Linked DNA regions of Coturnix japonica. The protein of the gene in region 2 purifies or fractionates together with the protein of the main gene of each other region. This does not show direct contact. Links are inferred from orthologs where the notes say so. Each region holds a gene or a part of one and is shown on either strand. Other genes may lie near its edges.

Region 1 (3,993 bases), on a different chromosome or scaffold from region 2:
TTTGTGTAGACAATTTGCAAGATAAAACAATTTAACCTTAACTGGACATGAAACGCTTGGGAAATTGTTCTAGTACATCAATGAAAACTATGCTCGGGTGTTGGCAACATTTAAAAGAAAGCGTTTCAAAGGTGAAAACTTGCTATAGCAAATACCCCGTATTATCAAGCAGCCAAACCGTGCCTCCAAGTCAGCACATCCTGACCAAAGGCAGTTGGTACAAAACAACCACAGAAGCGTTTCCTCCTGCTCAGATGGGCACTCACTGCCATCCTATCAGCTTGGTGCTTGAATTCACTAAGACAGCGATTTAGAAATGCAAGAACTGCAGCTTAACCAAAGCACACAGTACCTCACACAGAGACATCAGTTTCAATGCTTGGATCTCACTCACAGAAACATGACAGAAGTAAGAAGGTCACCACCAACTTCCAGCCCTTGGGATCCGATAAAACATTCACTTTAATCACATAACCTTCACAAAGCAAGCTTTTCCCACAGCGCGCTTCAAAGTCACTGTTAAATTTGATTAAATAGTTTCTGTATTTGAAAGTTCATTCACATTTGATGCCACGAGTGAGGTTTTGGCTCTGGATGTCAGCATTAATGCACCAAGAACAAAAAACTCATTTATGACAACTCTTCTGAACCTCAGCTGGCCAAAACCACCCCGTGCAGTAACAGCACATCACTGCAGCTCTGCATGAACCTCATAGCATGGCAAGAAAGAAAAACCCAAACATGGGACGAACTGAAAGAAAATATACTTTCAGCTTTCATGAAAATCAAACAAACAAAAAACCCCAAAACTAAACATCTCGGGATCCTGGAAATCAGAACCAGCCAAACTTAGTTCGTTATATATAAGCAACTCACCTCTATCTGGAAATGTGCCTTCCACTCTTATTACATGTAAAATCTCAGCTGGAAAATTACAGAAACGTGTTTTCCTGCCTCTTCATTTGCTACGTATGACAGCATTTTGTCTGAAGCCAGTTGCTGCTGTTTGCCAATGGTTTTGTCCATAGCCTCTTCCCCGCGGGGTTTCACACGAGAAGAGTGGAGACTCTTACAAAGAAATATATCAAATTAGCAGGCAACTTGGAGGGGAGGGGGGGATGTAAATATATGAAATGTCTGAATTTGAATAAACTGAATACACATTACAAACTTCATTATATTTTTACAAAGCCCTTTACACATAGGAGCCCATGGAAGAGGCAAAGTCTAGAAGGTAAATAGTTGGTTCAAACAATTCTGTTAACAACAAAACAACAGTAGAATAACACCGACCCCAAACCAAGATCTGCTACACCTCAATTCCTTTTGCGTACTTAAGGGCAGATTCAGCAAAATATCACATGCCCAACGTGCACCAACTTACCTGAGAAACGAAGGTGTGCTGCAGTAGTTTGCAGAAGGTATCGTGAATGTTGTGAAATTAAATCAGCTTTTAGAAGCAAGAGAAGGAAGGCCAAGGTGGGATTTCTTTCCCCCCGAGTAATTACCACCACAGCTAATTAGCTCTTTAGGGAACAACAATGAAGATAATCCTTACTTTCAGCCTACAATCCTTGTGTGCTCACAGGTCTCCACACTCTCGGGAACAAGAGCCAAACCGTGCATCAACAGCAGCTTCCACCCAGGAAAGCACACAGCTCTGCCGGGCTTCCCTGCGGCTCACGTTACACACTTCCTCAACGCGATCCCTGGGCAGAAGTAACAAGCACAGATTACTGCCTCCATCTGTTAAGTCCCACGGATCTTTTTAATGACTGCATTGTTTCGGTCCCCATTTAAAGTCCCCGATTAGGATCTCCCTTAACTCTTTGATTCCGTTCCGTGCAAGTTTTAAACCGGACCGTTACAAACAATCGCAACCGACTAAAAACTGAACGGCAACTTGTCGGACACGCAAAAACTGCGTTCAAATAAACAGAAAATCGCCCCTCAGCTTTAGAGCCAGGGGGAAAAAAGCTGTCCCACGAGGCAGAGCTTCACAGCGGGGCGCTCCATAGAGCTGCTGCTCCGGGACACAGCGCAGCAACACAGAGCCGGGGAGCTCGCGCAGGGAACCGAGGCACAACGGAACGGCCCCGGAGCGCCGAGCTCGGGCTGGAAGGGGACGGTCGGGGCTTTAACTGGGCAGGAAGTCAATGGGAACAGCGCTTCCAACCAGCACAGCGCCGTGGATCGCTCCGGGAAGGACCGACAGCACAGCACGGCACAGCGCAGCACAAAGGGGTCGGGGCCGCCCCACGTGCGGGCTGTCAGGGCCGCCCCATCCCGGCCCGGCCCAGGGGCAGCGGAGCCGAACCCGAACCCGGCCGGACCGAGCAGCTGGCGGAGCAGCGGCCCCCCCCTCCTCCTCGTCCTCCTCCGTTCCCGCATCCCGTCGCTACTCACTCACTCACCGTGTCCTTTGTGTTCTCCATCAGGCCCCGTGGTGCAGCTCACTCCCCGCCGCCTCCTCCGCCCCCTCCCCTCGGCTCGGCCCCCTCCGCCTCCCCCCGTTCGGGGCCGGGTCCGGAGGCGGCCGCCAAGTTCAGCCGGTCCCGGATCGAACCGAGCCCCGCTCCGTGCGCCGGGACATCAACAACACCAACATCGCTCTGCGCAGCCGCGGAGCCCGGCCCCCCGCGCGCCCTCATTGGGCTCCGCGCCGCTCGGGGCTCCTCGCTCGCCGTACCCACCTCGGGGGGAAGCCATGGACGGACCGCGGGGCTCGGAGGGGCGGGACGGGCCGGACGGGGACGGCAGCTCCGCCAAGAGCCGGTTCGTTGTTATTAACGGACGGAGCGACGGGCCGGGCCGGCACCGGGCAGCGCTGAGGGAACGAGAGGTCACGTGAGTCACTGCCCCCCCCCGCGAGGAATGGAGAGCGCCAGGTCACGTGACACGCGGGGTGGGAGGAAGGAAATAAGGCGAAGAAAGGAGGTCACGTGACGGCCCTCGCGGCCTGGGGAAGCTCCCTGATCACGTGGTGTGGGCCCGGCCAATCCGGAGAGGGGAGGGTGTGAGTGCGACCGCGTGGGTGCTCAACGGCACTTCCGGTTCCGGTGTCCCCGTGGGGCGATGCGGGCGGTGCCGCGTGTTGTGTGTGCGGAGAGACCGGAACGGACGGGACGGAGCAAGAAGATGAAGATGAAGATGAAGGTGGTGAAGCGGGTCCGGCTGCAACACAAGGACACGGCGGTGCAGGACGAAGCGTCACACCGAGCCCGGCACTTACGGGCCATCTCCAGCACTACGGCCGCTGAACGGGAGCTGGAGGAGCTGGTGTTCGGTGACAGCATCGGGGCGGACGAGGACGAGCTGCTGCACAGGCTGGGCCGCAACGAGGTACCGGGCGGGTACCGGGCATGGGGGCGGCATCCGATACACGGCGGGACGGGGCAGGTTGTTGGCCCGCCCCGCTGACAGCAGCCGGCCCGGTTTGTTGCAGCTGAACGTCGCTCAAAGCGGGACCCGGCCGGAGCGATCCAGGGAGTCGGAATCGGAGGATGAAGGAACAGCGGGATCCCACGTTAAACGGCCCGTGTGGGTGGATGAGGAGGATGAAGCCGAGGAAAGGTGCGATCACACGGCGGGTGTACAGTGACCATCGGCTTCCATTGAGCTGAGCTGAGCTGTGCATTTGTTGTGTTTTTTTGCTCTAGGATCGACATGACCCACCGGTACAGGAGGGAGCTGATGAAAAGCGACGCTGACAAGATACTGACGAAGAAAAAGCTGAAAGCGAGGCTTGAAGAACAGTGAGTTCATTGAGGTTTTTGTAGTGAGCTGTGCTAAGAGATGTACAGATAGACTTGGCGTTCTCAGCCCCTGTTTGTCTTTTTCCTGCTGTAAACTGCTTCAGCCCTGGAGCTGTTCTTGCCCTGGAAGGTGCTTCTCAGTTAGTGCTTCTTATAGTGACTATGGGATCTTTAAATCCAGAGTAACACCGTTATTTGACTTTTCTTTATCAACTTAATGCTTGTTTACTTCTAAGAA
Region 2 (4,282 bases):
TTTTGTTTAATTATGAGCTCCCTCTTACAGGAGATTAGAAAACCCACACGCTTTCCTACTCGGGTTTAATTCAGGATAAATGATAAACACTCACTAACATAAACATACAACATACCAGAAGCCTAATCCCTTCACAGCAGGAACCTCCGTGTGAGCGAGAAGAGCAGCTGATTTGTGAAACGCTTCGAGCACATGTAAATCTTTAAGATACTTAGACGGAAATAATACAGGAATTTTCATCAAGATCAGATCAAAACAAAAGTCCAATGAAGATGCTCACACCCACACACCAGATGTGACAACCAGCGGTGAGCTCCAACACCCTGCCTGAACCACAGGGACTCGGCACCGCTTTAATTCCTCGTCCAAATAACTTCAGAAATAGTATTAGAAATGAGCGATAACAATGAATCACCACTAACTTCAGGCTGACGTAGCAAATAATAGTACTACTTGAAAGATAATAAGAATGAAATCACACAAAAAAAAAAAATAAAAGCACTCTGGTTCGTGTCTTTCGATGCAAAAAAACTCAATCATGAACAAAGCAAATCATACTCCTCTACTAGAGAAATGAGGCTGTAAGGTACGAGGCAGATGCATCAAGCAGTTTTAAGTCTTGGAAATGGGTAAATATGGTTATAGCCAGTTCAGTCAGTACTGGAAGTCACCCCTTGGCTCTGGGACCACTGAGCTGTATGTGTGTGTGAGTGAACAGCAGCCACCCCAACAGCCGTAACCCCAGCAGAGGGCTGAGCATACAAACAAATAATCACAATGGCCTCGGTTGAAAATGACCACGAAACTCATCTCATTTCAACCCCCTGCTGTGTGCAGGGTCACCAACCAGCAGCCCAGGCTGCCCAGAGCCACATCCAGCCTGGCCTTGAATGCCTGCAGGGATGGGGCATCCACAGCCTCCTTGGGCAACCTGTGAACAGTGCGTCACCACCCTCTGGGGGAAAAACTTCCTAAGATTCAACCTAAACCTCCCCTGTCTCAGTTTCAAACCATTCCCTGAGACTCCTGAGTAGTGGAGATGTCAGAAATGAACAGGTGAGCAGCTCCCTCCCCACAGAAGTCCCTGTGAATAACAGCAACATTTGCTATGAAAAAAAAAAAAACAAAAAAAAAAACCAATAAAAAGAGCTGGCTGGAGTGAATTCATATATATTTATTCATATAATATGTATATTCATATATATTTAACTACAGCCATCTATACCCAGAAAAGCCTTACATGCCACTGTCACAGAAATCTACATTTAAAACCGCTTGTGGGGCACTGGGCTGAGACCCACCCCATAAACAGAGCTGTCAGCACACAGCAGTACCCCAAACTCTCCATCAGTGGCACAGATGAACGCTGTGCCCTGATAACGTGTCTCACTCTGCACCTCCTTGCTGCTTCTCTGACTGCTTCATATCGAGCCTCCTGCAGAACATACCCTGTACAGCCACACTGCAGGGCACACAGAATCACAGCATGGCTGGGTTGGAAGGGATCTCAAGGATCGTGAAGCTCCAGCCCCTCTACCACAGGCAGGGCCACCAACATCCACATTGATACCAGCCCAGGCTGCCCAGGGCCCCATCCAACCTGGCCTTGAACAGCTCCAGGGATGGACGGGGCATCCACAGCCTCTCTGGGCAGCTGTTCCAGCACCTCACCACTCTCAGAGTAAAGAACTGACATCCCTGACATCCCACCTCAATCTTCCATACCTCCCATTCTTACAGCCCGGTAGGATTTAGCACAAGTTTCCTTACAGAAAAGAGACAAAAACTTCAGAATCACCCAAAGCTAAAAATCCATACACGAGCACCAGCCTGAACTTCACCATCACTTCGGCAGCCCGTCAGCTGAAGCGCAAACAAGTTTATTCCAAGCAGCGTTTACCAAAACAACGGAGTCATTTCAAACACCGGAGGCTCAAGCCGGGCAACCCGAACCGCCAGCCCCGCTATGCTGCCCCCCAGCCCCGCTGTGCTGCTCTCCGATCACGCCGCCGCCTGTCACAGCGCTGCCCGAGCCGCAGCCCGCCCCAAGGTTAGCGGCCTTAGCACGCTACGCCGGCTGCGCCCGCCCGCTCATTCACAGACGCGCCTTACGCCTTCCTCCTCCTTACGCTAACGTAAAGGCCTCCCCCCCGCTAATCAAAACACTCGCGAGTCGGGACGCAAAGAAGATGGCGGAGCAGGGCCCGCTTACGGCGTCGGACAGCAGTTTACGCTGCGCTCTTTGCGCAGGGCCCCGTCCAAGCCGTGCAGCGCCGCGGTGGGGAGCGTGCGTAGTGCGCTTGGTGAATGCCGATGGCCTATTTCCCGTGAGGGGAGGGGGGGGGGGGGGTCTGATAAACAATGGTGCCCCCCCTGCGCGGCTCCCTTACCGATTCCTCCTCTTTCTCCATCCCCGTGGGCATCTGCGGCACAGCCCGGTTGATGGAGACGCAGTCGTTGAGGTCGGGCATGTCCTTGCCGCGGTAGATGGGCAGCGGTTTGGCGGCGTCTAGCGCCCGGGCTCGGAAGGAGAGTTTGCTCATTGTCTCCCCCTCACAATAACACCCCGGGGCCGGGCGGGCGGGGGGGGCCCTCAGTGCGGCCGCGCCGCCGCCTCCCAGCCGCTCCCGCACCCGGCCCGCACCACCATGGAGGGTCCCGCCGCCCCGGAACAGCTCTCCGCGGGGCCGCCCGTAGCTCACAGCGCACGCCCCGCAGCCCTAGATCCGCGCCGGGCTCGCTCGATCCGCTCCCTGCGCCATGGCAAACATGGCGGACATTAACCAAAGCGGCCAGCGATCCCGGCAGCCACCGCGAGAACCCGGAGCGGGGGGGGGACGGAACGGAGGGAGGGAGGGAGGCGGGAGGAGGAGGAGGAGGAGGGTGCGCTGCGCGCGCAGCCAGGGGCGGGGCTGAGGGACGTGGAGCGGGATGGAGGGAGGTGGGTGAGGTAGTTCTATGGGGGTCGGCGTACGGGGGGATTCGCTCCTCAGAGCGTGCATTGCCGGCTGGACGCTCGAACCGGAGGAGTAGCGCTGAGGAGGCGGGAAGACAGTCAGTCAGTCAGTTAGTTAGTTAGTTAGTTAAAGTCAGTCAGTCAGTCAGTTAGTCAGCTAGTTGGTTAGTCAGTCAGATAGTCAGTCAGTCAGTCAGTCACAGTCAGTCAGTTAGTCAGTTAGTTAGTTAGTTAGTCAGTCAGTCAGATAGTCAGTCAGTCATTCAGTCAGTCAGTCAGTCAGTCAGATAGTCAGTCAGTCAGTCAGTCAGATAGTCAGTCAGTCAGTCAGTCAGATAGTCAGTCAGTCAGTCAGTCAGTCAGTTAGCCAGTCAGTCAGTCAGTTAGTCACAGTCAGTCAGTCAGTCAGTCATTCACTCCCCGTGCCCGGCAGCAGCTCTGCTCCACAGGAGAAGCCCGCAGGGAGTTGTGCAGGTGCCTGATTTTACCTTTAAAGGTGTTTTGTTTCAGTTTTAACATAAGAAAACTGCCGAGCTGGTGCTGCCCAGGCTGTGGTTGCTCAGGGTCAGAGCAGTGATTGAGTGACACTTGTCAGGATCTGCCTTAGCAAAAGCTGCTGTCAGTGAACCTGAGCGTGTACCCTCCTCTTACTTAGGGATTAAAACACGTGTCTAAATCGCTTCTGAATGCCAACAAATCTATAAGGCACCGCTGCACACTGATTTATTTAAACACAGCTTCAATTGGAGGCAATCTGGAGTAGTGCATTCACTCATGCCCTTCTGCTCTAAAAAATGTTTGTGTTCATAGACAATTCTTGCCTTGCATTGGAACTAACACCCTTTTACACAGAAGCACATCGTAAAGCAGTTCAGAGCTAAATACCAGCCTTGCTTGTAGTAGCCCAAATTGTGTGTGAGATGCATTCAGCAATGCTCCTCTTTACATGACTGTTTCAAATTGGTGTAGTTTTTAGCTCAGTAGTTACAGGAAGCAGCCAAACTTCTAACCCTCAAAGTTGGTTTGTTATCAGGAAAGATATTCACAACTGGTTGGTAGAAGCAGATGGTTGCCATTTTCCAAAGAGTAATTGCAACGCACTTGTGCAACAGCTTTAGTTTCTCAGTCTTACTGTGCAGCAACAATCAGGAGATTGTAAGTGAAATTAATCCTGGGCTGGAACAGCACTTCTTGTGTGTCTCCTTTGGAACAATCAGAGCCCAACAGCTGCATCTGAGAAACTGAAAGCTGTCATAAGGATGGCAGTATGAACTGTTCCATAGGAATGAAGGTGGTAGCAAAGAGAGCTCTGTAGCTCTCGGAAGC

Evidence for each region. Proteins that work in one complex are often made in the same cells at the same time.
Region 1: the proteins of EPC2 (region 2) and MBTD1 purify together in Homo sapiens (affinity purification with mass spectrometry; 3 studies listed by BioGRID and IntAct, with this or other methods). This does not show direct contact. The link is inferred for Coturnix japonica from reciprocal best matches to the Homo sapiens genes EPC2 and MBTD1.

The regions. Positions count from the first base shown.
Region 1 is NC_029533.1:8,711,356-8,715,348, reverse strand, and holds the start of MBTD1 (MBT domain-containing protein 1), read right to left. Parts: upstream 2,807-3,993; 5' UTR 2,694-2,806; intron 2,529-2,693; exon of another isoform or gene 2,415-2,528; intron 1,710-2,414; 5' UTR 1,559-1,709; intron 1,069-1,558; 5' UTR 877-1,068; intron 1-876. Other genes in the region: UTP18 (U3 small nucleolar RNA-associated protein 18 homolog), read left to right, coding at 3,076-3,342, 3,446-3,573, 3,660-3,755. UniProt on the Homo sapiens protein: Chromatin reader component of the NuA4 histone acetyltransferase complex, a multiprotein complex involved in transcriptional activation of select genes principally by acetylation of nucleosomal histones H4 and H2A.
Region 2 is NC_029522.1:31,185,389-31,189,670, forward strand, and holds the start of EPC2 (enhancer of polycomb homolog 2), read right to left. Parts: upstream 2,802-4,282; 5' UTR 2,544-2,801; coding exon 2,391-2,543; intron 1-2,390. UniProt on the Homo sapiens protein: May play a role in transcription or DNA repair.